Mus musculus: one gene and its partners. The protein of the gene in region 7 interacts with the protein of the main gene of each other region in a pairwise test. Links are inferred from orthologs where the notes say so. Each region holds a gene or a part of one and is shown on either strand. Other genes may lie near its edges.

Evidence for each region.
Region 1: the proteins of Txlna (region 7) and Cdr2 interact in binary tests that used the Homo sapiens proteins (3 or more experiments, as listed by UniProt). The two-hybrid records come from large-scale screens. The link is inferred for Mus musculus from reciprocal best matches to the Homo sapiens genes TXLNA and CDR2.
Region 2: the proteins of Txlna (region 7) and Ccdc136 interact in binary tests that used the Homo sapiens proteins (3 or more experiments, as listed by UniProt). The two-hybrid records come from large-scale screens. The link is inferred for Mus musculus from reciprocal best matches to the Homo sapiens genes TXLNA and CCDC136.
Region 3: the proteins of Txlna (region 7) and Cep57l1 interact in binary tests that used the Homo sapiens proteins (3 or more experiments, as listed by UniProt). The two-hybrid records come from large-scale screens. The link is inferred for Mus musculus from reciprocal best matches to the Homo sapiens genes TXLNA and CEP57L1.
Region 4: the proteins of Txlna (region 7) and Stmn2 interact in binary tests that used the Homo sapiens proteins (3 or more experiments, as listed by UniProt). The two-hybrid records come from large-scale screens. The link is inferred for Mus musculus from reciprocal best matches to the Homo sapiens genes TXLNA and STMN2.
Region 5: the proteins of Txlna (region 7) and Ppfia1 interact in binary tests that used the Homo sapiens proteins (3 or more experiments, as listed by UniProt). The link is inferred for Mus musculus from reciprocal best matches to the Homo sapiens genes TXLNA and PPFIA1.
Region 6: the proteins of Txlna (region 7) and Vps52 interact in binary tests that used the Homo sapiens proteins (3 or more experiments, as listed by UniProt). The two-hybrid records come from large-scale screens. The link is inferred for Mus musculus from reciprocal best matches to the Homo sapiens genes TXLNA and VPS52.

Annotation. Positions count from the first base shown.
Region 1 is NC_000073.6:120,979,513-120,983,807, forward strand, and holds the start of Cdr2 (cerebellar degeneration-related protein 2), read right to left. Parts: upstream 2,801-4,295; 5' UTR 2,541-2,800; coding exon 2,465-2,540; intron 1-2,464.
Region 2 is NC_000072.6:29,410,075-29,413,574, forward strand, and holds part of Ccdc136 (coiled-coil domain-containing protein 136), read left to right. Parts: coding exon 1-168; intron 169-1,173; coding exon 1,174-1,311; intron 1,312-1,635; coding exon 1,636-1,794; intron 1,795-2,289; coding exon 2,290-2,460; intron 2,461-2,827; coding exon 2,828-3,013; intron 3,014-3,500. UniProt on the Homo sapiens protein: May play a role in acrosome formation in spermatogenesis and in fertilization.
Region 3 is NC_000076.6:41,807,069-41,811,048, forward strand, and holds the start of Cep57l1 (centrosomal protein CEP57L1), read right to left. Parts: upstream 2,801-3,980; 5' UTR 2,720-2,800; intron 2,596-2,719; 5' UTR 2,580-2,595; coding exon 2,505-2,579; intron 1-2,504. Other genes in the region: Sesn1 (sestrin-1), read left to right, coding at 3,954-3,980. UniProt on the Homo sapiens protein: Centrosomal protein which may be required for microtubule attachment to centrosomes.
Region 4 is NC_000069.6:8,508,281-8,512,326, reverse strand, and holds the start of Stmn2 (stathmin-2), read right to left. Parts: upstream 2,801-4,046; 5' UTR 2,716-2,800; coding exon 2,697-2,715; intron 1-2,696. UniProt on the Homo sapiens protein: Regulator of microtubule stability. When phosphorylated by MAPK8, stabilizes microtubules and consequently controls neurite length in cortical neurons.
Region 5 is NC_000073.6:144,550,930-144,555,129, reverse strand, and holds the start of Ppfia1 (liprin-alpha-1), read left to right. Parts: upstream 1-1,400; 5' UTR 1,401-1,611; intron 1,612-2,110; exon of another isoform or gene 2,111-2,332; intron 2,333-2,596; coding exon 2,597-2,860; intron 2,861-4,200. UniProt on the Homo sapiens protein: May regulate the disassembly of focal adhesions. May localize receptor-like tyrosine phosphatases type 2A at specific sites on the plasma membrane, possibly regulating their interaction with the extracellular environment and their association with substrates.
Region 6 is NC_000083.6:33,954,392-33,958,599, reverse strand, and holds the start of Vps52 (vacuolar protein sorting-associated protein 52 homolog), read right to left. Parts: upstream 2,801-4,208; 5' UTR 2,508-2,800; coding exon 2,418-2,507; exon of another isoform or gene 1,916-2,417; intron 1,671-1,915; coding exon 1,586-1,670; intron 752-1,585; coding exon 699-751; intron 584-698; coding exon 508-583; intron 311-507; coding exon 243-310; intron 1-242. Other genes in the region: Rps18 (40S ribosomal protein S18), read left to right, coding at 2,980-2,982, 3,424-3,522. UniProt on the Homo sapiens protein: Acts as a component of the GARP complex that is involved in retrograde transport from early and late endosomes to the trans-Golgi network (TGN).
Region 7 is NC_000070.6:129,628,322-129,631,065, reverse strand, and holds part of Txlna (alpha-taxilin), read left to right. Parts: intron 1-661; coding exon 662-754; intron 755-1,419; coding exon 1,420-1,515; intron 1,516-1,867; coding exon 1,868-2,185; 3' UTR 2,186-2,744. UniProt on the Homo sapiens protein: May be involved in intracellular vesicle traffic and potentially in calcium-dependent exocytosis in neuroendocrine cells.

The DNA of each region.
Region 1 (4,295 bases), on a different chromosome or scaffold from region 7:
AATACAAATCTACATAAGTTAATAAAGAAGATCATAAAGAACACATGATAAAATCCGACTAGAGTTCCTTAATCTACACAGAGACAGAGCTGTTCGCAAACTCCTTAGCAGCAAGTGCTGAAGGTGTCCCATTTATTTACTCGCATCTCCAGATGTCTCTATGAGTAGATTCATGAACAGCATCCCATTGAGTGGGAGTCCTGCCTCCCTAATAGCTGGCTACAAGTGGTGCCACTGCCTACATTAATACCTAGGTTAGAAAAAAGCCAGTATGTTCTTGAGAAACAACTGTAAACTCTGTTCAAAGGTAGTTCTTCTAGGCTGGCTCTGGGGTACACTGCTTACGTGGCACGCACGGAGGGCCTAGGGTCAATCCCAGCACACCAAACCATTTAACATGTAAGTCAACAAAATGGGGAAAAGATGCTCAAAAGAGCAGCCATCATTCTTTCATGGGCATATTAATGAGCTAGCAGGATTTCATATCTTCCATTTGTACTTTATATGGCTACTTATGATGCAGAAGCCATGGCAAAGTCCACTGTGATAACAGCTATGAAAGCCTCTGGAAAGTAGAGAAGAAGTTCCAAATGGAAATCAACAGTAAATTAGCCCAGAGGTTAGGGTTTGTTAGACTTGAAGATGTGACACCTTCATCTGGATCAGAAGTTAAGAGTGCCACACATAGCACCAAACGTATTTTGTTTACCACTCAGTAGACCGAGATAGTACAACTGCTGGTTCCTGATAACCTCCTGGAGACGGGGGTTTGGCTGTTGGGTAGACTAGGGCTCTGGATTGAGGAGAGCTGAAAACGTTAATCTTGTGTGAGAGCCTCAGTTCAGGTCAACAAATACTAAATTAAGTTTCTATTATGATGTGTTATATATGATGTTAGACATGGGAGACTGGCCAGTCCTTGAAGGTTTTGGATTCTTCTTAAATATGGCAAAGAAAAAACTCTTGCTTGGATTATATGAATTGCTTTCATAGAAGCAATCGCACGATGGTTGCTTCAGTCCTCAAGTATCAAAGTAGGTCATCAATCCTTATGGGGCAAATCTCAAGTAGGCTAAATGTCTAACAAATTTGTCTTGTGGACATGGAGAAATGTGATGGCAAATCGGCATTGTAACTGCTAGTCAGCTTCAATTATAGCAGTACAGGGATCTATGTGGGCTTAGGTCATTTCACATTAAGAAATCAAGACAGACAGGATTAAAAAAACCAAAAAAACAAAAACAAAAAAAAAAACAAAAAAACAAAAAACAAATTAGCATCTCTCCAAAGAGCTACCTGTTTTCTTTTTCTAAGTATGGATCATTCAAGCCCGAATTTTTCCCCCATCAGATTCAGTTGAATTGTGAACAAGAGGCGGTGTTTAGTAGCCAACTCAAAAGAGATATTAATTTTCCCAAAAAGTTTGGAGTGGAGATCATTATACAGAATAGCACAAAGGATTCCTGCGGATCCCTCAGCATGGTGGTTAACAATGTCTACTCTGGGGTCTGCCGTGAATACCTAGTCTCCCCAACAGTATCTTCTTCAGCCAGAGGTACCTACTGCAGCACCTTATGCTATTGGGAGAATTAAAGGAGCCTACCAGGGTGTTGAGGGCCGGCCTATCAGTGTCCCCAAACACAAAATCCTGCTATGAATGTACAAGAAAATGGGCCACTGGCTTCAGACTGGGGGCACTCTTGAGATTGTCTCTGGAGATGCCCCGATGCAAGAAAACCAAGGCAGGATTATTTTTAATTGAAAACCCGAAAGAAAGATAAGCGCATGATAAGAGCTGCCCTCGAATAATTTCATTTAGCCCCCGATGAACGATGGCTAAGTAATAAATTAAAACACAAAACAAAACAGTTTAATACCCAACTGAGTAAGCTGTAAACTGGGATGCTAAGAAACTGAACAGTGTCTACAGGCTCCTCATACTCGGCTTTAGGGAATCCACCTAAATCTTTTAGCCTCTGCTTTCTGGAAAACGGGACAAAAAAAAAAAAATTTACTCTCACAGAGAGATGGCGCGGGTACCGCACAGCAGCACTGCCCTCCCACCACCTGCAGCGGCTTTGCAGACTCTGCGGACCATGAAAGGCGATGTGGGGCAGGCAGGGCAGCACGACCCGGACCCAGGCCAGCAGCTCGCCTCTAGAGCAGGACAAGCTGGTCCACTCCTGCCCACCTCAGAGGTCCATCCGCTCATACCCGGCAAGCGCTTTCTTAAAGCACCGAGCATCAGCCTGTGTGGCGCACCCGCAGGGCCGTGGGCCGCGCGCGCTTGCTCTCTGCGGTCGGGATGGGCGGATCCGTTGCCAGGTGAGGGCAAGAAGCACCGGGCCGCGGCATCCCAAACCTCCAGCCTAAGGAACTTTCTAGCACTTTCCACACCTGCCACCCCCGGACTCCCACCCCAACAATCCCGCCCCCCCCTCCCGACCGGCGACCTCGCCCTCACCTTGCTGGAGGTCCCGGTGGTCGTACCACGGCTCATCCTCCATCTCGAACTCCTCCACTAGGTTATCTGCCAGCATGTCGCCGGGGACGTCCGGGGGCAGCGGGCTCTGCCGCCGCCCTGCCGTTTCGGCCGCTGCCCCGGGCTCTCCCCCGGCCCCGCCGCCCTCAGCCAGAGCCACCCTGGGGCGGGACACGCAGGTCCCGCAGCAGCTCTCGCCGCTATCCCGCGCCGCCCAAAGGCCGGCGCCCTAGCGAGCGCGCCCCGGGTGGCGCCGGGAGCCGGCTCCTCACGCCTGCTGCCCGGCCCAACGTGGCACTTTGGCAGAACCCTCCCAAAGCCGGGGAGACGATTCAAACCCGGGAGGCACCTTGACCAATCACGAATGAGCCGCCTATAGAGTGACAGCGACTTCAGCCAATAGAATATCAAAAAAGGTCGCGGGTCCGAGGACCATCAGCCAATAATAGCTTAGGAAGGAACAAAGGAGGCGGGGAAAGACGAAGAGGGTGCGGTCGGCAGCCCCTCCTCTTTTGTCTGCGTCGCGTCTCCTCAGTTGAGTGCACTCCAGTTCCGGAGTGTGGAGGTGGCTTTGGCGAACACCGGGTGCCGAGGACTACTAATTCTGGGCACGGGTCATCATCTTCCCACCCGAGGGTTTCGGATGCGGGCCAACTCTCCTTGGCTCTGCCCTCGGTGATGCTCGGAGGGAGACTCATGGTCCGTCGGGAAGTTAAAGCCGAGAGAACGCTACTGAGTGAGAGCTGCTCCTCAATCTTGGAGCCCTGGCCTTCCAGGGGCCTGGCTATGAACTCCTAAAAGGGCAGTCACCAACCCCACTTCACACTCCAGAGTCCCGGGCTGGCCAGTGGAAGCCGCCTCCCCTGAGAAAAGTTGCCACAGTTTTGCATAGAATTTCTTAAAGGTTCATAGAGCCCAGGATAAATACCTAAGATCAGGCATTGCACTTGGTGGCCAGCTTGCCGGCGTCAGCTTGTTAACACAGCCGTAACTACTGTTTCTTGGGTTAAACTTTTAATATATTTGGGTACCTCACTTAGGGAAACTCTCAGAGGGCAGAAAGGTCGGCGCAGATGTTTGGGATGTTATAACTGATAGCATCTACAGAGGACGGGAGAAGAACTGTGACAACTGAGGGGGGGAGGGGATGTTATAACTGATAGCATCTACAGAGGACGGGAGAAGAACTGTGACAACTGAGGGGGGGAGGGGAGTAATTACTCAGGTTTGGCAGTAGTGATTTGGTAGAAACCTCCTGAAGTTAACTCCTTCACACAGATCCGGAGTGTCACCCGAACTAAAGTGGAAAGCAGTTGAAAGTTTGCCTTATCCAAAAAAAGCACCAGTTGTGGCCTTAAAATAGTGTACTCAGATTACTATGGCTTAAAACAGGAGAAATTGCTAGGAAGAAGCTACAAATCCTCAGAGATACTTTTATTTCTCTGAGATCTCGGGTAATTTGGAGGAAGGAATACTTCACCCTAATTTCTTTTTTCAGTGCTAACGATGCCTTAGGCGTGCCACTCTCCATCATTCTTGTGGGTCCTAAGATGCTCCTTTTCAGATCAGTGTAACATGCACCTGTTCCTGGGAACATGGTCTTGTGAAGGTCAAGAAAGCCTCCCCATTGTGAGGTTGGTTTGTTGTTTGTACAGAGTCTCACTGTGCAGCCCCAGCTTTGCCTAGCACACTATGTAGATTAGGCTGGCTCTGCCTCCAGAGTGCTGGGATAGAAGGCACACAACCATCAAACCCTGTCCCTACAGGAATGTTGTTCTGGCGAGATTTTCCTCTTCATTCCTTAAGAAAGACT
Region 2 (3,500 bases), on a different chromosome or scaffold from region 7:
ACACGGAGAGCAACAGAGCGATGGTTGGAATCTCACCTGCTACGGAGTACGATGTCCTCCGAGTCTCAGACGTCAGAACTGGATTTCCCAGAGCCTGACCCTGTGATGCAGCTTTTGCGCCAGCAGCTGCTGGGAGCTGAGGAACAGATGCAGGACATGCAGGACAAGGTAGGCGACAGAGAGTGGAGTGGCAGGCTGCTGCTACCATCAGTCTCACTTTTCCCTGGCCTGTAGTAGGGAAAGAGCTAACAGAGGAGCCCTGCACTGTAGGAGGGTATGGTGCTCTGGGGTCTTGCCTGACTGATAGAAGTATAGTCATCTGTCAGGGGATGACATTTCAGTCAGAAAATGGACCAGATATTTTGTCCCATACAGTTATGTGGATGCTGAAAACTCTTATCCCTTCTGATGTTGTAGTGCAGCATATTATTGAACATGTGTGTGGTGCTAGTGTACATAGGCCTACTGTGTGTGAAGCTGCCAGCTGTGTGCAAGTATGACACATATCATTGTTACATAGTAACGTGACGTGAAGAGAGTGCTAATAGTTTATGTTTCTACCACATTGTGTTTTACTGTTATTTTAAAAGCCTTCATCCTTAAAAACAAAGAAAAAGTGTTCATTATAGAACAGGATACCAGAACGGCGATGGTGGCTCACACCTTTAATTTCAGCACTTGAGAGGCAGAGACAAGCAGATCTCTGAGTTTGAGGCCAGCCTGATGAAGTTTCAGGATGTCCAGGACTACACAGAGAAACCCTGTCTCAGAAAACAACAACAAAAACAAACAAAAAGGCCAGGACACCATATTATACTGACAGCATCTTCAGACATCTCGTATCTGCTGCCGCTATTAATGGCACCATTTTCATTTGCGCTTAGTTCACTGTCAGGGTATATATTAGCATCCCAAGAGCAATAAAACACAGTCACAAACACACGTGCTGTGCTTATCTAAGTTTGTGTAAGTGTACTCTATGATGGTCACACGATAATTCAGTAGTGTAATGACACATTTCTCAGCATGTGTCTACGTTGTTATATGACACCTGACTATATTCTAATTAAATGAATGACATATTTTCCCAGGTCATGGTGTGTGTGTGTGTGTGTGTGTGTGTGTGTGTGTGTCTCATCTACTACAAATCAGCCCATTGCATTTCCCACACAGTGTAAGAACTTGTATTGTGAATTGGAAGAGCTACAGCATCACCGCAGAACCAGTGAGGAGGAGCAGAAGCGGCTGCAGAGGGAGCTCAAGTGTGCCCAGAATGAGGTGCTCCGGTTTCAGACCTCCCACAGCACCCAGGTGAGCACTGCCAGGGGAAGGGAGGGCAGCAAGGCTCAGAGTCACCGCCTCCAGGTGGACATCAGGAGTGAGGCTGACCTCTGCTGGCTCTTACCCTGTGACCAGGACCCAACAGCATCACCCAGAGCCCCTGCATATAGAAGCCACATAGGATGGCATGTAAAAAGGTGTCCTTGTTGAGTGTCTTCATCACTGAAGAAACCCAGCCATAGACCCAGAGAGCTTCTTCTCAAGGTCTCTGCATCAGAGAAGTATCACAGAGGCCTGGATAGGGCCCACGGCTTCTTGAGAGTAACTGCTCTACCCGCATCCTCCCTACTGCAGCATGAGGAGCTGAAGAGCAGGCTCTGTACCCTGCAGCAGAAGTATGACGCTAGCCAGGACGAGCACAGTGAGCTTCTGAAGGTGCAGATGCAGCTCGAGACTGAGCTCCAGCAGCTCAGACTCCTCAGATGCACTCCTGTAGAGAGCCAGAGTGAGAAGGTAACCGTGCCAAAGGCAAAGGGACAGCGGAGGGGCCACTAGCACCGCACTGAGGTTGAGGGGCTGTAAATAACAGGAGCTCCAGAGCTAGGGATACAGCTTTTGGTAGACTGCCTGCCTGCCTAGCATCATGAGGTCCCAGGTTCAGTCTCTAGCGCTGAAACAGAACAAAAGGAGACAACTGTTTATGAGCCTAGTGTTGTAGAACATATCTGTTATGACAGAACTGAGAAGCTAGAAGCAGAGGAATCAGGAGTTCAAGGCCAGTGCCAGCTACATAGACTGAGTTTCATGAGATTAGATTACATTTGTTTACAAACAAGCAAGTCAAAAGAATAACTGTCTTCTTAAAGTTCTGCGTAAGGAGGGGGGCAGGGGAGGGGTAAAGCAGCAAGTGGAAGGGAGGAGGAAGACTCTCAGGTGGTCAGTGGCTGAGTCAGGAGAAGAGCAAGGTCATAAAACCCAGCACCACTACCCAAAGCCCCCTGCGTGCAGGAGTTGATGTGCCGGCTCCAGAAGCTGCAGGCCCAGCACCAGTGCAGTGTGAATGAGAAAGAGCAGCTTCTAGAAGTCCAGCATCACCTGCACGACAAGCTGCGGTGCCACGAGTCAGAGGTGCATCGGCTCCGAAGCATGGTGGACTGCTTGCGAGAGAAAAATGAGAAGGTAAAAGGAAGGCCAGGCCAGGAGCACATAGCCAGGCAGGATCTTCTGTGAGGGTAAGCAGAGTGGGACTGTTGGAGTTCTGTGGAGGAGTTGCTGGTGAAGTGGACCCAGGGCATGTAGAAAGAGCTGCTTGTGAGATAGCCACAGTTTCCTTTTATTTTAAACCAGAAAATCAGTCTACAGACAGGAATCCTGTTGCTTCCTTCAGGAGGAAGTCTCCCAAGGTCAGGGTGTCAAGCCTGTTAAGGATAGGTCTGTTTGGTTCTCCCTGGCTGGGATGAAGTCAGGGTCGGAAAGGTAAGGGCGGAAAGATCAATAGTGAGGCGGTAGTTGTACATGGCATGATGGCTCTGCCTTCCTTACCCAGAATTCAGGGATACACCTCCAGCTTCAGGAGATGAAGGGATTGTATCAGTTCAGCAGGGATGAGCTGGAGCGCCAGAAGCACATGTATGACCAGCTGGAGCAGGACTTCCTGCTCTGCCAGCAGGAGCTGACAGAGCTCAAGTCCAGCCAGTCCCTCTGTGAAGAGAATGGAAACTGCTCAAACAAGGTAATTGTACTTCAGAGTGCTAAGGGCTTCTGGCCAGCTTGGGAGAGAGGAGAAGCAGACAAGGTCGCCCAACTGAAGGTAGAAGACAAAGGCAGACCCATGTCTGCTGGCCTTAAAACAGTTCGTCTTGAACTTGACTTGAATAAGAACCATAGCTTAGTAGATGAATGCGTTTGATCTCAGGCAGTATGAACATGTGGTTTTTATACAACCCCATGTATATATGCATTTCTACAGTGGTATTATAACTGTACTGATGTCTCATCATTTGAAGGGAGGCACATACATACACATGTATAACTAAACTAAAAAGAATAGAGCCAGATTTCTGAAACAACTTGCAAGTGATTTTAAGGATATGGTCTGTACCTTGAATGCTGATTTGAGTATTAGAAGAACCAGTGCTCTTTTAGGATATAGTCAGACTTGAAGTAAATTCCCAAATCTTGAATTTTGCTTCAAATTAAACAAAATGCTATTCTTGTTT
Region 3 (3,980 bases), on a different chromosome or scaffold from region 7:
AGAGCCCTTGATTTCCATAATTCTTCCTTTCTTTAGTTCTGCTACAAATAGTAACTGCTGTTGCATCAAAGAATGCAAAGTATATAAATTAACTTGAAGAAAGGTAACTGGAGGAGCCTACAATAAAACCCAAAACAAAACAAAACAAAACACTCCATACCCCCAAATAAAAACCAGGGCTGCTGGTCAACTGTGACACTCTGGAGAATTAAGCCCACCCAGAACAAGGCAGAGAAAACTCTGCACCCCTCCCCCTCCCAGTGCAGACTCTTCCTGCCCATGGTCTGTGTCACCCACTCCCAAAAGCAAAGCCCTGTGTACCCAACCCCCACCCTCAGCTTTGAGGCTAAAAGACCCTCTCAATATTGGAGGTCTTTGAATAGGGCAACTCCACCCTGCAAGCTCATCTTCTAACAGCTGTCCTGAGGTGGCAGGCAACCTGCACATCCATCCAGCAATGGTCCTCCTCCCACTGAAAAGGAAGATTTTTTTCCCACAGCCAAGCACCTTTCATTCCTTCCTAACTGGCTGTCATTGTTTCCTTTGCTATATACTCTACATTACTTATTTACTATCTTAAAATACAAGCTCAGTGACATCCTTCTGAACAGAAGGCACTTGGTGACTGAAGCCTTATGCTATTCATTTGGCCTTCATTTTCCTTGGGATGAAGACTTCCCTGACTTTCTAAGACTGGGCTAAATGTTCCTCTAGCCAACAATATCAAATAGTATTACAACTGTATTTTACACATAAGTGTTTGTTTGGTTGGTTTTGTTTTGTTTTGTTTCCGAGACAGGGTTTCTCTGTGTAGCCCTGGCCTGGCTGTCGTGGAACTCACTTTGTAGACCAGACTGGCCTCGAACTCAGAAATCTGCCTGCCTCTGCCTCTCAAGTGCTGGGACTAAAGGCGTGTGCCACCACCGCCTGGCCACATAAGTGTTCTAATAAGATGAGGGGTATCTTTCTCACTCTTCTGTAGAGGGATTTTAATTCGGCAACATAGCTACTCTGGTTAGAACACAGATACACCCTTAGTACACACCTTTAATCCCAAACAATGAAGGCAAAGTTTGTAGAAGGAAGCAGCTTTGTTTGAAAGTGAAGTCTAACAGAGAGGGAAACAAAGTGATGAATCAGAAAAAGATTCAGTAGACTAGGATCTACCCAACTCTCATGAGAGAGGAGAGAGAGGCAACATAGGAGGGAGCAGACAGAGGGAGAGAGGAAAAGAGACAGTGTTACCGGGAGAGTTTTACAGAGACAGGGTGAAGAGAGAACAAGCTAGACATGACAGGCTGAGCCAGAGAATAAGGAGGAGCCAGAAGAGTAGAACACATTGCTAAAGTTAGTTTGAAGCCAAGCAGAGCAATTCAGTCAGAAGCAAGAGACGCCAGTTTGAATCAGTCAGAGGAGTTTGGGCCAAAACAGCTGAGTTGAACCAGAGAGCAAGAATTCAGAAAGAGCTAGAAAGAGTGAGCTTATTCAGCAGGAAGTCTCAAAAGCTGGAAACACTATAGGCCTTTACAGAAGCTAGAAGCTTGCAGGATTGGGCCTAGATTAGCTGATGGAGGCAGTAAGCCTCCAGACAGCAATTACAGCAGGAGAATAAAAGTTATTGTTACACTTTTCTCATGTTAAAAGCCTCATTAATTTTTATGGTTTTGGATTTTTCAATGAGTGTATTGTTTGCATGTATGCCTGTGCCCCAGGTTTATGCCTGGTGTCTACTGAGGTTAGAAGTCATCAGATCCTCTGGAACTAAAGTTATGAATGGCTGTGAGCTGCCAAGTTGGGGCTGAGAATCGAACTTAAGTACTGTATAAGAACAATTCTTAACTACTGCACCATCTCTTTAGTTCCAGATTAATATTTTATGACTATGTTTACTTTGTAAAACAAAGGATTAAAATCGAATCCGATTACCAGTCTATTAAAAACCTTCCAAAAACACCTTTAGAGAAATGACCATATCGTTCAAAGATAACACATTTAGGAGGTTTTTATAGGCTTCTTTTCATACAGAACCTTCCAAACCTAAGGACATTTGAAGTTCTTTTCAGTCTCAGACACAAGAGACTTGCTTTCAAAGATCCCCTTCGGATGCTATCTGACTGAGCAAAGACAGCACAAAACAGATCCCTGTAAGGGCAAAGGTGCAATGGCAACGCTTAGGGATTCCTAATCCATTCAGCACGGGCCTATGTGCAAGAGGACAGCAGAAGCAGCGGCGTCGGTTTTTTGTTTTGCTTTTTTGTTTCTTTTCTTTTTTTTTTTTTTCCAGTTTGCCTGTCTTAAGGCTGCTCCTTGGCCTTCCAAACAATGATCCCCAAATCCTTGCCTCAGTCACCCAACCAAAGGTGTTGAGCACCTGCACTATTTCTCTCCCGGCAAGCCACGACGGAAAGGAAGCAATCCCAGATGGCGTCGGCACCAGAGTTTCCGAGGGGAAAAAAAAAATTTTTTTTCACTGAACGGGTCACAACCAAGCCTACCACGCTTACCAGATGGACGCTCCCAGTTAACCACGGCCTCCAGAACCGTTGGTTCGCGGGCAAAGACAAGTGTCGCGGTGGCATCTGGGAATTGTAGTTTCTGTCGCAAACAGAGCGCGTAGTTAGCATTACAACTACATTTCCCAAAAGCCAACGCAAAGCCCTGCCTGCTTGGCTGTCACTCATAATTCTATCCCATTTCTACTTGGAATACTATAGAGCACCTTTATTTGTTCGGCTTTTCTTGTTCGATAAACATCTCCGGGCATCTGTACTCCTTACTTTTCTTTCCCCTTCTTCAAACCAGCGCCTCCAAACGTCGAGAAAGGACAACACCGCGGAAAGCGCATGCGCCCTGGCCGGCGTCGCGCATGCGCAGCAGCCGGTCTTAGTCAGTGGCGCGCTGGACTCGGGGTCCGGAGGTACTCTGCCCGAGGGCGGGGCTGCTTCCAATGGCTGTCTTTGCGGGTCGCGTGTGCCTGGGCGGAGAGGCAGGCATGGGGCAGGGGCGGCTCCCGGCGGTCCCGGGCGGGGACAGGGGAGGGGCTGGGGGTGAGGACCCCGTCTCCCCTCCCTGCTCCCGCCCTCTGGGCCGATCCCCACCGACGGGGCTGGGCGAAGGGGCGGGCTCTGTGCCTGGGGCCCTTTGCTTCAGCCGTGCAGCCCTGGGCTCGATGACTGCTGGATTGCGGGGTGCCCTCTGGCTTGGCGGAGGTGGGCGAGGACAGAGGAGTAAGAGGAGCATCGGCGTACCCCGGGGGACAAGAACCGGCAGGGTTGGGGACGCCGCCCTTAGTCGCCGCTGACACTGTGATTGGCGGACACTGCTCCCCCGGAGCACCGGAGCCTCGGGCCCCAGCAGCTAAGGGCCAGGGTCTACCGCCTACCCCGCCAGCACCCGCCCGCTGCCCTGCCGCGGCGCTAGGAGGAGCCGAGGGGGGCGGAGACTGGTGTCGGAGGAGGGCGGGGTGGGAACGGTCGAGAACCAGCCGCTGCACAGACAAAAAATCGAATGGCTGGAGAACCTTCTACTGTTTACCAGCCTTTTGGGACCAAGCACGGATTTGACAGCTCCACAACGTGAGGATATCCGCTGACCCTGCGACACAGAGAACACTTCCCCGGGACTCTGTGTCCAGCTAACCAGCTCTGTGAGATTGCAACTTTCCAAGTTTGTTCTTTTCAATCTCTGTCAGAAGACTGCCCTCGTGTAGGAGAGGGTGCCTGGGTGATCCGCCTTGTGGATCGATTTGAAAGCATCAACTTTAAAAAGCACGTGTGATTCCCAGTGCCATCCAGACGCCTGCTTTCACGACGGCTGGATTTCTCTGACTTTATTCTTAGCGTTTCTCGTTGTTTTTGTTTTTTGTTTAAAAAACAAACAAACGACGGGCTGCTTTGGGGGAATGCTGAAAGGTAACTGACTAAACGCTGAAAAAGAAAAAGCTCTTGATTGTCATGGCTGAAGGAGAGAATGAAGCGAGA
Region 4 (4,046 bases), on a different chromosome or scaffold from region 7:
AATAAAAAATGCGTGCATAAACGTATGTATGTATGTATGTATGTATGTATGTATGTATGTATGTATGTATGTGTTGTATCCTCTTGTGGAGGGGCATAACATCTCAGTTATATATAATTTTTGCCCATTGAAACAAAAACAATTCTCTGTGGAGAATTTCCCAGCGATCATCTGGTGCATAGGCTGTCCTTAGCAAGTACCAGCGCACACATCCCACCCACAAGAACATACAACACAGCAACGGGAAGTCAAAATGCATCTGCTTTATAGAAACTGAAATGGACAGAAGCAGATAGAATTGTTTTGTGGTTGTGTATGGGAAGAGGATGGAGGTTGGCAAAGATGATCAGGAAGATTAGTGGCAAGGGGTTAATCGGTACCAAAAGGGACCAGCATACTTTTTGAACAAATGAGACTTAAGAGGAGATAAGTGAGTCTTGGACTAATAATCATGATGATTTCTAAGGAATCACAATTCTGGTCACAAGGAGTAACTAGCCAGTCGTCTGCAGCTGAAACCTCTCCGTGGGACAGACAGAGCAGGAAAATCTCCCCAAACCCCATCAGAACCCTTCTGGACAAGCGACTTGATAGCAAATTGTGGCAACCGAGAGTAGCTCAGGACACTGCGCAGAACCCTCTCCTGGGATACTCTGTGGGGGCGAGAGCCCAGTTCCGAGAGGAAGGCGAGAGCTGCAGGGCTGGCCCGGGTCCACGCGCGATCGCCACGTGCTTGCTCCCCAAGCTCACTGGCTTTGGTTGTAGCAACGAGGGGTGGGGTCGAGCCACGCCCCATTGGAGGACCCTCAGTGGGGTCTCTATCCCAGAACACAAGGCCATGGGCTTGGGCTTGGGAAAAAGGTCCTTGGATTCTGCATGGGCAAGGACACCTTCCCGAACCACAGGGAAGGGGGTCACCTCTGTGGTCCAGGGGCCCAGCAGGGCGCGGCTGCGTCTTTGTGCGGCCAGGCTTGGCTCGCCTTTCTGCACAGCCTCTATCCGCTGGGAGGGGCTTAGTCCTGCGACCCTGAGCCTGGGCAGATGTGTGCACACCCTGAGGGGTTTGGGGCTGTTCTGGAAGGCGGGGCTAGAAAGAGGGGTGCCCGGACTGCAGACTGTTCAGCAGCCCCACCCAAGTTCGTGGGAGCCAGCCTGGAGCCTGAGTCTTCAGGGCTCCGCAGACAGGGTGGGGCAGGGCAGGGTGGAGCCAGTCCATATCCTTTTTCCTGCTCTGCATCAGTAGCTCGATCTAGTGTGTGTGTGTGTGTGTGTGTGTGTGTGTGTGTGTGTGTGTGTGTGGTTCTAGCCGCTTCCCCAGTGCAGGCCCCTCCCAGGCTGTCTACCCTAGGGAAACAAGCACAGGACCTTTTCGGAACGATGGCACTGGATCTAGACTGGACTCTATTGCGGTTTTACAGATTTGGCTCCGTCTGACCCACAAAATTGAAATTGCACGAGGCTCATCTTAAAGACCTTGACCTCTTTTGCTTTATGTCACCCTTACACATCTTTATCTGTATTATTTTCTGTATACCCTTCTAGGTTCCCTAATTGCCCCCTCCCCTCCCCCCGAAATGACCCAAGGAGTTCAGAATAGCTCCCCCACCCCCTGCTTCTTTCCCTTTTTTGATTTTTTTTTTGCCACTATGTTTAAATATCCTATTTAATGTGGTTCTGAAAAATATGTTAACGAAGAACAATGAGGCCAGGGTGGAGCGGCTGAGGTTAGCGGTCAGGTCAGGCACGCAGGCTGCTAATGAGTGAGTGGGGCGTGGCGGGGCTCTGCCGTTCCCGCAGGGTTGGGTTTTTCAGTGTTGTGCTGAGCTCCCCATTAGGCCCCCATTCTACTGAGGGTGTGGAGCTGGGTCCGGGTGGGGACAGCTTGACTCTGCACAGGGTGGGGCTGTCCGCATAGTATGCCCAGCGCTGCAGGTGCCCCCCCCCACACTCCCACCATTGCTTCACACACAAAGAAACCCCACCCCGGCGCCTTGGGAAGCCAGGTCCCTTTACCCCTCCCTGCCGCGCACGCTCTCCCGCCCCTGCAGCTGCCCACCCGCGCCCTCCACGCCCTCCTCCTGTTTCCCCTCCCTCTTCCTAAAACAAAGGAGCTAAGGTCCTACCCCACCCCTCCGGCCGCCTTACCTCCCCGCACCGCGCCCCAAGACTAGTGGTTTTTCCAAGATAGACAATACCATTAAATGTGCCCACTCCCCTCCCCCGTTCCCACTCCTCTCTCAAACCTCCAGGATGGGACCGCTTTGACTTTGCATTTTCTCTTTTATTCCAACATCACTCCCTTCCTGTCCCTATTATCTTTTTAAACTACAGAATAAATATAGGACGTTCAAAACCACTTTCCGAAATGTCCCTTCACCTCACTAAAGGCAAATCGTTAAGGTAGCCCCCTCCCCTCTGATGGACACTTTAGTTTTAAATATGGAAGCAGAATAAAATTCCTACCCATTGGAGGAAAACTTACCTGCTTCTATCTTTTAAAAAGAAACCATTTACTTTAGTTTTTCAAAGACACCCTTCCCCCTTTGGTCTCTTAGAGCTCCCTCCAACCTTTCCCGGTTCCTGTCATGAATGTCTTTCCCTTTATAAAATATCTTTTAATGTCTTTAGAGATCCGAGAGAGAAAGGGAGAGATTGGCTCCAGATAGAGCCCGTGGGGAGCAAAACGCGATTCTTACCCATTGCTGTTTTAGCCATTGTAGGGATGTGCACGCACGGAGTGGTGGCGAAGGCAAAGGAGAAGGGTCCAGCTGTAGCCGCGGAGAGAGCGAGAGAGGAGTCTGAGTAAGGCACTGAGTCTGCAGAGTGGGACCGTGCTAGAGAAAGAGCAAGAGGCAGGAGCCCATGAATAATTATCACGCAGAAGCTCAAGCAGATTGGCTCTCAGGGTCCCCTGACATGACTCCCGCAGAGTGAGAATCTCCAAGCATTAAATATTGATCGGCCAATGGTGCTGGAGTACAAAGTACCAGAATGCAGTTTGAAATGGAAATCAGTCCTTGTCTGGAAGCTCCCCCCCATTTTGGAGCCCAATAGTACAGTCCAAGTGGAGTGGTGCCTTAGCCTGGAAGCCTCCTTGGAGCTAAGGACTGGGCTGTGCTTACCTGTACCCAGGAGGCTATACTTTGCTCAAACATGTGTCATTGCATAGATTGGCACAGAGAAGGAATAGACTCAGGGGCCTGAGAACCCACCCCAGTGTGCTGAGTTTTGGAAAAATCTGTTTAAAGCTTGTGTTACCAGTGTTTCTTATTTTCTCTTTTACCTTTGGCCCTGCCCTTGGTGAATCCTGGCCTCCCTAATATATGATGGAATTCCCAAACCAACCCATGTCTGGCTGTGGTGGCAGCTCAGAAATGGCCTGGGCTACTGGTCTTTCTTTCTAGCATAGCTGGGCTCCAGAGTGCATGATCTCAGGAGGGTCTTATAACAGAGGGAGGGTGGCTGTCTTTTCCTCCCTTTAGCATAGAGGAGAGGACTGTTGGCTACCTGGGCAGAGATGTAAGTTCCATCTAAGGACATGATGCAAGAAAGCACACGAACTTGGACAAGGAGTGATTTTTCCTGCATTCACAGTCAGATTAAGCACTATGAAGTGCAATGAACTTTGAAACATTATAAACAAGGTATTCACTCATTCACTCATTCATTCGTTCACTTCAAAAAACATTTAGCAAATGTCCATTCTTTCTCAATTCCTATATTTTCTGAGCATGTGCAGAGCACTGGAGACACAGCATCAGGGATACTTTTTGGACCTGTGTTCATGGAACTTTTGATGTGCAGGATTGAACTCTACTGTACTGACATTGTATCAGCCTAAACTCATGTAGGAATTGTGGTTGAGATTTAAAAATAGCAAGAAAGAGATACTTCCATCTCAGAGATGAAAAAAAATAAAAAAAAGAACATCGTTGCAGTGTGAACATGAATGAAACACTCTTTAACTTTAAAGGTATCAAAAATTAAGATTTTGCCCATTGGTAAATTGTTTGGTAGTTACTAGGTTACACTTAAAAAAAAATTTT
Region 5 (4,200 bases), on a different chromosome or scaffold from region 7:
ACAGGGTTTCTCTATATAGCCTTGGCTGTCCTGGAACTCACTTTGAAGACCAGGCTGGCCTCGAACACAGAAATCCGCCTGCCTCTGCCTCCCCAGTGCTGAGATTAAAGGCGTGCGCCACCACGTCTGGCTTGAGCATTTCCTCAAATCCAAACCTGAGATCAAGGCAACTGAGAACTTGTGTGCAGTGGCTGATAGTCCTTAAAGACTTTGCTGCTTCTATTTACATTCTGACTTGTTTTGTGGAAAAAGGTCTCATTATATAGATCGGGCAAAACTCAGAGATCTGCCTGCCTGCCTCTGCTTTCTGAGTGCTAGGATTTCAGGTGGGCACTATTGTGCTTGGTTATACTTGTAACTTGACTTTGTAATTAATTACTGACTTCTTGAAACAGGAATCTGCCCATGTAACCCTGACTGTCCTGGCTCTCTATGTAGCCTATACTAGTCGACAGTATTCTTGCCTTGGCCTTTGGAAAGTTTTATTGGCTTTTCAGTTATGGTTGATGATCATTTTGCTTTGGTTTCTGGACTATTTTATTGGCGTTAATTAAAAAAAAAAGTTTTAAAACAAGGTCTCAGTATGTACTCCTGGCTGTCCTGAAACTCACTATGTAGACAAGGCTAGCTTGAACCCAGAGATCTGCCTGGGTGCTGGGAATAAAGGCGTGTAGCACCAAGGCCAGCTAGCTTTTTATTTTTACGTGGAGTCTGGGAAATGGAACTTAGGTTCTAATACTTGCAAGAGTGACTGAGCCCTTACATTTTGTTGTTGTTGTGTGTGCGCGTGTGAATGTGAGCACATGTATGCACCCACACGATACATGTGTGCAGGTCAGAGGACAACATTCAGGACTATGTAGGTTCCGAGGATCTACTGCAGGTCTTCTGGGTCCTAGGGTTCGAACTCAGTCGTCAGGGTTGATGGCAGTAGCCTTTGTTTGTATTTTACAGGCAGAGTCTCCACCTTGCTGTAATTCTCCTGCCTCAGACTTCTGAAGGGTAGGCATAGAGGTAGAAGGTACCTTGCCCGACCTGTCAGCACTTTCCGGTTTTGCAGGTGGTCCGGCGGGACTCCCCAGAGGTCTTGGGTTTTGAGGGGGGGGGCGAGTGCTCAGGTGACGTCGGCGTTTGGGTGACGTCAACACACACACACTGGCGTGAGAGCACGGAAGCAGGACTGCGAGCTGCGCACACCTGCCAGAGATCTTTACCGGTGTTTCCACGGTCGCCCTGTCTCCGCAGGGGGTTGGCCTGCCGGGGGCGGGGCTAAAGCGAGGACTAGCCAATTGGATCTCCCGATAGACCGCCCGCCCACTACCGCGGATCTAGCGCATGCGCACGGCCCCGCGGCCAACCTCTCCCGCGGGGGGCGGTGCTGACGCTCGCGCCGACGCGCCGGACGTCGGGCACGTTGACGCCGGCGACGCGCCGGGCCCGGTTCTCTGCGCTCGCTAGTGTCCCGCGGCGGCGGGCCGGCCTTCGTGACGAGCGGGGCGGCGGGCCCGGGGGCCGGGCGAGGACGCAGCCGCGGGGCTGCGTGGGTCGGCCCGCAGCCGGCCGCCGCCCGAAGGCCGCTTCATAGCCCCGGAGCCGCGCCCGCCGGCCAAGGTGAGGGCGGGTGGAGCGGGCCGCGCTGGGTGGCGGGCCAGGGTCGGTGGGGCCGGGTCGGCAGGGTCAGTGTGCGGGGGTCAGCAGAGCCAGCAGAGTTGCGGCTAGCCTGGCAAAACGGGTTGATAGCAGTTAGGTCCGAGTTCGCTTAGACTGGCCAGAGTAAGTGAGGTTGGGGGCAGTGAGGCTGTGGGGTCAGCTGAGCCAGGCCGGGGCAGCGGGTGCTGCTCAGATGCACCTGCAGCGCCTTCTGCTTCATCCTCCACCCTGTGCCCTGACAGCATGCAATCTCTAGTTCCATCTCACCTTTTCCTCCTCCTCCTCCTTTTTTTTTTTTTTTTAACCTAGCCCTGTTGTCCCGACTTCCTAGATTCCCAGTGTGGGTATATTTTCTCTTTCTGTTCTTTTCCCCTGTCTTTGACTGTGAACTTATGTAAGTTGGGTTGGCTGACCAACCGTTACACAGCAGCAGGCCTTTGCTAAACACTTCTGTCCAGACTTTAAAAAGCCAATCCAGTTGCTTTTTCCGCTGATCACCAAATATCCAGCCCCACAAGTCAGGGTGCCTGCTAGTCCTTCCCAGGAGCTGACTGCACACATTCCTGGAGGATGCTTGGGTCCATAGTGCTGGTGTTTTGTCAGTTTCCAGTCTTCTTCTGTGGTTGAGGGACTGTTTGGAATCTCTCTTCCTGAGGAAACTGTCTTCAGCTGTTAAATGTGGATTTTAAACAGACCCCCACTGGTTGGAGGTGAGCATCCCAGCTCCTCTTGCTCCCAGGACTGTCTCCCCCAATCTGCTCATTATATTGACCTGTGCATGCTACTTCCCAGAGTGTGTGCATCCAGAGTGGATGATCGTCACGGATAGCTCTGGGGCTGTCAGCCTTTTTCTCATTAGCCACAGGTGGTGCTCAGAAAGCTGCAGGTTTGTGGAAACTCTTGTTCTGCACCTACTGATTGTGGTCTGTACCGTTCCTTTTTCAAGATGATGTGCGAGGTGATGCCGACCATTAGTGAAGCAGAAGGCCCTCCAGGAGGAGGTGGGAGCCATGGGTCAGGCTCCCCTTCACAGCCAGATGCTGATTCGCATTTTGAGCAGCTCATGGTTTCCATGTTGGAAGAACGGGACCGCCTTCTGGACACACTAAGAGAGACACAAGAAACACTGGCATTAACCCAGGGGAAGTTGCATGAAGTTGGTCATGAAAGAGATTCTTTGCAGAGGCAGCTCAATACTGCACTTCCACAGGTATGCCCATCAAACTGAAATCAAGGAAGGTTTCTGCCTTTAAATGTCTGCAGGACTGTCTTGTTAGTGTATTAGCTTGCTGGCTGCTTTGTGTAACCACTTGGGAAGTGATGGTTCTGATGTTTTCTGAGCACTGGTAAAATTCTCAGGAATTCAATTTAGGGGAAAAAATGGGGATCCACCAAAGCCATGTGACCACACCACTCCACTGTCATACCTCTTTGGGAAACTGCCTAGATTTAGGAAAGCACTTAAATGTTTTTGACAGGGGGCTATGAAGCAGTTGAGCTGTGTTGAGTGTCCCATTCTGTCTTAAACTTGTCCTTGTCTGCTGTGGATCTGTGAGGAGTGGATCTCAGGGTTTTTTTATCTTATCCCTGGTTTATGTCTTGTGGACTTCCAATTTCCTAGGGAAATCTTGTGGATAAATAGAACTCATTTCATGGGAAAAATTTATACAGGCTTTCTCCAGAACATCTGTGAGCTGTAACTAAACTTTGTTTCAGGGGAGAAAGGATTGAAAATTGAATCCTGAGGCTCCTCTTCCCAGGCAGATGAGACTTTCAGAGCTTGAAATACCTACTGTGTCCTTAGTATCACATTTAGATTGGTATGCTAGAGCCTCCTCTTTTGGAGTTAAGTGGTATAGGAAGGAGAAGGCAGTATAGCCAGCAAAGCCCAAGGTGAGAGGCAGGCATGTGGAGCAGGGGTTGCTTAGATTCCTGCTGACAGCCCACTTTACTGGTTCATGATGGGCGTCTCCTTGGTGCTCAAGGAATCTGCACTTACGCTCTTGTGGTGTGTCTGCAGATATCAGTTAGCAAGTCAGTAATGAGTGCCTTGATGCATCTCTCAGCTGTAAAGTCAGTTCTATGAGATGGGACTAAATGTTTGAATGTCCTTTTTAGAAACAGTAATTTGGTGTTAGTGTTGTGTGCTGAGGGGTTTTGTTTGGTGACTAGAGAGTTGTCTTTTCTTCCTGGAGTCTTAGGAATGAGCAGGTTAATTAGGTCAGATTCCGTTGCCTCATACTCAAGAGGCTTTCAGGAGGTCATGAGTCCTACTTGCTCTACTCTACACTTGGGTTTGTTGCAGCTCAACTCTGCATCAGTGGCTGGTCAACATTGAGGTTTTTGGAAAGAACAGGCACAGGGGAGGCAGAGCTGGTGGGTGTTGTGGGTAGTGAGTTTCAGGCAGTGAGAACTGTCTCACCTGTTGCTAGGTTGTGCTGGCTTGCTGCTCTGCAGTGCCTCATCAAATGTAGGACATGCTTGTGTCCACAGTTACATCATATCTGACCCGAGTCTAGTGTCACAGAGTAAACTTGTTCTAGATAATTC
Region 6 (4,208 bases), on a different chromosome or scaffold from region 7:
TGTGGGGAGGGCAGGAAACATTGTGGGCATGACTCCGGGTTGTCGGGGAACAAGGACAGGTGTGTCAACCAAGTCTCTGTGCAAATCCCTGGTACCCAGCAACCCAGGAGGATGGGAGATCATCACTTGTCCAAGGGGGACAAAAAATACTGATAGAAGAAGAAGGAGAGGAGGAGGAGGAGGAGGAAGAGGAGGAAGAGGCAATTAAGTCAGATTTGGGGCAACAGGTGAGGGCCACCCACCTCCAGGACGGCGTCACAGGCCGTGATCTGATTGTGCAGAGACGCTATGTTTTCACTCTCTTGGATATCTGACCCACAAAAGTCAAGGGCTTCACACTGAACACAGAGCTCTGCCGATCTGCAGTACCTGCCCCCAGGTCCTCCCCAAAGTGACAGAAGCCTGAGAGAGAAGACATCCCCTTGAGGGCTACCTGCATCACAGGCCCCCAAGAGCCCATGCCAATAGCAGCCATCTTGGCCCTGTGCCTGTGAGGCTGGAGGATACAGTCCCGGATTGACTTCTGCTCAATCTGCTGCAGCTCCAGCTCCACCTGCTTTGAATAGTGTCGAAGATCCACACCCTGGGGGGAAGGACAACCAGTACAGACTCCGTGACTGGCTAGAGGGGAGCCACTAAGCTGAGGGGACCCCAAAAGGAAGGGAGGGTGGGGAGATCAACCCAGTGGAGAGCCTCACCGTTTTGAGAGCTTCCTTCACTAACTCATCCTCCAGGTTTGCCTGGATGTGAACTGGAAACAAGCTTATATTTAGTGTCCCCTGCCAGACCTCCCTCTGCCCACACTGGGCACACGCACACCACACCAATCTCCCCTTCCCTCCCAGCCCCCACCCTCTCCAGTTATAGGCACAGCTGCTTTGCCCGGTGGGACTTCCTGCTGTTTCTGCTCCTCATGGTCTACTCGACCACAGATGGAAAATATTAAAAGGGGATTTCCAAAGTGTGGCTTGTAAGATCTAAAATGTGTGGCATTCTGAGAAGCTAGAGAACCTCTCGCCTGGGCTTGGATCTGAAACATCTTTGCTCCGTTAATCTATGGTGTGTGCTGTGCCTGCCTCCCAGTCACTCAGTCTTAGCTGTCTGCGTATGTATGTTCAACCAGGCTGTATTCTTACTCAACAATAGTCCCAAAGGGGAAAAAGTGATGCTGCGATTTTATTATAGTGTATTGCTGTGACTATTCGACTCGTACTGTTCATTTCTTACTATTCCTAAATTAGAAGTTAAGCCTTCTCAACTCATGGATTAAACTTTATCTGTACATTAAGAAAAAAGCCAGCCGGGGGGTGGTGGTGCACGCCTTTAATCCCAGCACTTGGGAGGCAGAGGCAGGCGGATTTCTGAGTCCGAGGCCAGCCTGGTCTACAGAGTGAGTTCCAGGACAGCCAAAGCTACAGAGAAACCCTGTCTCGAAAAAAAACCAAAAAAATAAAAATAAATTAAAAATAAAAACACACACACATACAAAAGAAAGAAACCATAGAGGGTAATCTACTGGGGTCATGTAATATATTTCTAAAGAATAAAGGGGTCTACTTTGCTCCCACCCCATGTCAGCACTTACCATCCACTTCATCCAAGATGAATTCATCAGAGGTGATGTCCAACTCTCCAAGTTGTAGGGGTTCTTGGAGTCCAGAACCCCCCCCCTGAAGAGGGACAGGTTAATGAATGTGGGATACAGAAAGAGATGTTGGAAACAAAACATAATCGGGTATCCTTAATCCTCCAAGTGAGGTGGGGGGTGCTTTGGGGGGTGGGGGGTGCCGGAGTAAGTGGGTCAAAGATTCTGATGCGTTCAAATCTACAATCTTGGGCTACTGAGAATATCAGGCAATTCATGGAGTTGCTGGAGTTGTTCAAATGAGAAAAAACTAGGACTAGTCAAACTTGCCTTTGAATTTAGGACCTCAGTTTCCAGCTATTCCAGGTGATCCCTGAGGGAATTCCAGAGGCTAAAATCGCCAGCTTACATAGTGTTTACCCCTGTGTCTGGTACACCATTTAACATGCTCATTCGGCTAATCCTAACGACCACCTATAAGGTATGTCCTAACAGCGTTTGCACTGTAAAGGTGTGGGAAGTTTTGGCACCGAAAACACAGCATAGCTTTCAAGCGGTGGGGCTGGAGGTGGGACCCCGGGCAAATTGGTTCCAGAGGCCACGTTCTTAACCTTTTACGCTAAACACTAAAATTTTTTTCTACTAAAAATCGTGAACAGGAAGCTGACACTGTCCCTGGGGCTTGGGTTTCAGCCACTTTGGTCCCTACGAAGGCTAGGTCACCATCACCCGTGGCAAGACGGCTCCGAACCTCTTGTCTAAATGGAGCCTACGCCTGAGGAGAGGGACAACCTGACGATACTCCGGAGGACCTACAGCCCCGTGCTCTCACCAGCGGGCCCTCCTCCTCCTCTACATCTGAGGCCCCAGCCCGCAACACCAGCTCCCGGGCAGCGGCCGCCATGGTCGCTGCGGCTGCCATTCCCCCGCAGCTTCACTTCCGACTTCCGGCAGCTGTCAGTCTCAGAAAGTCCGTTTCCCGAAGCAAAGCTACAAGTCCTGGAATGTCTTCTATGGAGCAAAAAAGGGTCCCAGATATTTGAGCTAAGGCGATCGGCTCCAGCCTCTCCGGTTAGGCTTTGATCATTTCGGTCAAGTGCAAACAGGAAGGTGAACGTCTCGAACACAACTCTGTTCCGGAACCTTCGCTCCGCGCCCACACAAGAACGGTACGACGACAGAGAAGGCCGAACCGGAAGTTATAGCTCCGGTCCCTTCCAAAACTGTCTCAATACAACTCCTCCCTTAGGGGGAGACGGGGAGAGAAGCAATTTCCGGAAGTGGACCTCCGGGGATAGCCCCGCCTCTTCCGCCAGGAATCTATATAAGACTTATACGTCACTTCCGCTCTCTCTTCCACAGGAGGCCTACACGCCGCCGTCTGTGCCGCCGCCATGGTAAGAGCGGAATCCGCGCCGGGATCCTGCGACATCGGAGCCGGGGCAGGGAGAGATTTCCGTCAGGACTCAGAGAGTGCCCCATGCTGCGGGCCCACAGCCCTCTGTGGAGCGATGGAGTGTGACCCGAGAGGGGACGACCTAAGACGTGAAATCCCGGGGATCGGGGCCCCGAGGAATGCTCGCTCCTCTTACACAGCAAAGCTGCCAGGAGCTTGGCTGTGTGTGGGCTCCTCCCGCTTCCCCTGTCCAGGGAATTGGGGGCCGCGGCCGACGTCCACCCTCTTGTCAGAGGTTGCGATTTCCCGCGCCTGAGCGCGTTAGGGGTGAGCCCCGGTGACTGAGGAGTTGTGTAAGAACTTAGCAGACAATCCAACCCTGCCTCGGCCACCTTCCCGGTTTGGGGGTAACCTGTCTTGATAACTGCCCGTGTTCTTTCAGTCTCTAGTGATCCCTGAGAAGTTCCAGCACATTTTGCGAGTACTCAACACCAACATCGATGGGCGGCGGAAAATAGCCTTCGCCATCACTGCCATTAAGGTAAAAGTGTTAGGGGCAAAAGAGAAGCAGCTAAACTCACCCAACCCGTTTCAATAAAAGCCTGATGATGACCCAGGGTTAAACCAAAACATTGCTCCAGGGGTAGTGGGGTGTGAGTGTAGTCATGTCCCACCTTGCAGAGGTTTCCCGAGATCTTCAGCTTCCGAGAGCAGTCTCTGCTGTCAGCAAACCTTGAGTAGAATTCCTGTAAACTAACATCCTAAGAGGTGTCCAGGCTTAGCGGTGATGGTTGGGGGTGGTCTGCAGAAGCTATTGGCAGATGCCACAGTGGAAGGTGACACAGAAGCTGGCAGTTTTCCCCATTATGGCAAAAAGGGAGGTCGTAGGAGGAAGCTGGGATGTTTCTCTGCAGAGCTAAAAGTCTTGTAGACAGGGACAGGACTTGAAGTTGGTGATTTGAGGAGTTGCTGGTCAGGTGTGTTCAGCCATGAGACCTGTCAGTGGTGGGACCTTGTGGGATGCTAGGGTATAGATGGAACTGGGTGGCTGCTGAGAGGTTTGAAGGAGGCCTGGGGAGCCGAGGTAATGTCAGGTGGACATAAAAGTTGGAGTAAATTTTTTTAACCTTGTGAAGTCTCACTTTTAAGTCCTTGCCATGTTGACTTTTTTTAATTCTGCACTTTGGCAAACAATGATAGCACAGCAGGAGGTGCCTGGTGTGGTGG
Region 7 (2,744 bases):
CTGGAACACAGAGATTTGCCTGTCTTAGCCTCCTAAGTAATGGGATTAAATGTAGGCATGTGCCATCATGCCAGGCATTTTTGTTGTTCTTTGAAGAACAGGTCTCTGAGTTTAGCTGTGGCTACAACTAACCCAGAACTTACCTTGTAGACCAGGCTCTCTGGTGGCCTTGAACTTGTGACAGTCCTCTGACTCCCAGATGCATGAGGCGTTAGCTACCAGGTCTAGCTCAATTCTGTCTACTTTTATTTTGCTGTATTGATATGCATATGAGTGTTTTGCATGGATGTATATTTTTCCCCACTTGTGTTCCTGGTACCTTTAGAGGTTAGAATAGTTCCAGACAGTTGTGGTCTCCATGTAGGTGCTGGGAATTGAACCCAGGTCCTCTGGAAGATCAGCCAGTGATCTTAACCTCTGGCCGTCCCTTCAGCCCTATCAGTGTATGCTTCGTTTTGTTTTGTTTTGTTTTGTTTTGTTTTTGTATGAGACCAGTGTCTCCACATGCTGACGTCTTCCCAAGGCTGACTTTGCAGGATTGTCGTGTTGGAACACATCCTTGCTGTGCACGACTTTGCTTGTGTGGTATTAGGAGATGGTGTCTCAGTAGAGTGGCTCTGTCCGCGTTCCTCCTCATCGTGCTCCTGTGCTTCTTACGCAGCTCGCCCTGTACACGGAGAAGTTTGAGGAGTTCCAGAACACACTTTCCAAAAGCAGTGAAGTGTTCACCACGTTCAAACAGGAGATGGAAAAGGTAACACAGGGAGGCCCTCAGCCTGGCCAGGACGGTGGGCGTTCTGGCCGCTTCCTTCAGACCTGAGCTGCCCTGGCAGCCTCACAGGCACTCTATATATCAAGAGGTAGTTAGAAGGGGCCATAGCTCCCTCTCCTGCCAGAGGGGACAGTTTCTGTTTGTTTTTCTATTATTGTTTGGTTTGATTTCTTTATTTATGCTGGAATTTTAAATAGAGAATATGCATTCTACTAGGCTTCAATGGTAGCTTTTTTTTTTTTTTTAATTTTATTTTATTTCTTTAGAGATGTAGTCTCTCTATGTAATCCTGGTTTCCCAGGAACTCTCAGTGTAGACCAGGCTGGTCTTGAACTCATAAATACCCACCCTGCCTCTACCTCGAGAGTGCTGGGATAAAGGCACCCAGCATATTTTTAAACAATATTGTGAATAGATATGTATGTGTATGGGCTATGCATATGGCAATTATCCAAGTACCATTTACAGGAGTTGAATCTGTGGGTTTGGGGCATGGAGCTCATCGTTAGCCTCGGCAGCAAGTACCTCCTTATTTCCTAAGCAGTCTTGTCAGCCCCTCAGTGGTCAGCTTAACTTGAGGCTCCCAGTTGGCAGAGACGTGCAGATAGCCCATCTCTGACCCTTTCTTTTCATCTGTGGTGTAACAGATGACAAAGAAGATCAAGAAGCTGGAGAAAGAAACCACCATGTATCGATCCCGGTGGGAAAGCAGCAACAAGGCTCTGCTGGAGATGGCTGAAGAGGTGGGTGGAGGGCCGCGGACTGGTCTGTGGGCCTTTTCCCCTGCTGTCACTCAGTCACTGACACTACACGGGAACTGGGGCTGCGTTTCCAGGAGCACTTATCCAAGTGAGCCCTTTTGGGGACCTTTTTTATGTCTGCACATTTTTTTGAGATCTGAGAGTGGTCCGTGGTCCTGTTTAACAATCGACAGTTTAAAGATGCCTGTGGTGTGTCAGGGTATCTGGCAGACAAGTAGAATACATCCTCTGGCCCTCGGCTGGGGCTGTTTACTACATGGGCCAGCTTTTGGGTTTAAGCTGCCCAGACTTGAGGATGTGAACGTCTCACTGAATGCTTCATTTCTCTACCTAGAAAACCGTCCGGGACAAAGAGCTGGAGGGCCTGCAGGTGAAAATCCAGCGGCTGGAGAAGCTGTGCCGAGCACTGCAGACCGAGCGCAATGACCTCAACAAGAGGGTACAGGACCTGACTGCAGGGGGCATCACTGACATTGGCTCTGAGCGGAGGCCAGAGGCCACCACTGCCTCCAAGGAACAAGGGGTTGAAAGTCCTGGGGCTCAACCAGCCAGCTCTCCAAGGGCCACAGACGCTCCTTGCTGCTCGGGAGCCCCGAGCACAGGAACAGCAGGCCAGACAGGGCCTGGAGAGCCCACCCCTGCCACTGCCTAGAGATCACGGTGCTTGGGCATGCTGGGACAGGAGCAGCAGCCCAGTCAGGCCTCGTCCATGCAAGGCTTCCACACGGAGCAGCCCAGGGCTGAGGCCGTCGGACACTTGGCAATTGTGAATTTTGTGGGTTAGTCTTACATGGATGGGCAGGCGTGCAGACCCTCATGCGGTTCTATAGTCAACACCTGTAGGTGCACTGTGGGCTTTCACCTCGGACAGTGTGCAGATGAAGTTGGAGACTCTGAAAACGGAAGAGTCATAGAAGATGTCATCTGAAGCTGCCGTCACAGTAAGCTGGCAGGTCAGATGACTCCAATATTTTCCTACCCAGCTCTAAGGCTCAGACCCCTCTTGGCCTTTTCAGAGCTCATGACAAGTGAAAGCACCCAGGCCTGGACTCCTCCTTTTTGTGAGCAGAACTTGGGCGATTTGGGCTCTCGTCCCTCCCTCGCTGCCCTGGAGGTTCCATTGCTTCTCTTAACCTGGGAATGGTGTCCCTGGCAGAGTCTTTGTGGGGCAGAAGTGGAGGTGTGCCTGTGTGGGAGGGAATCCCTCAGGC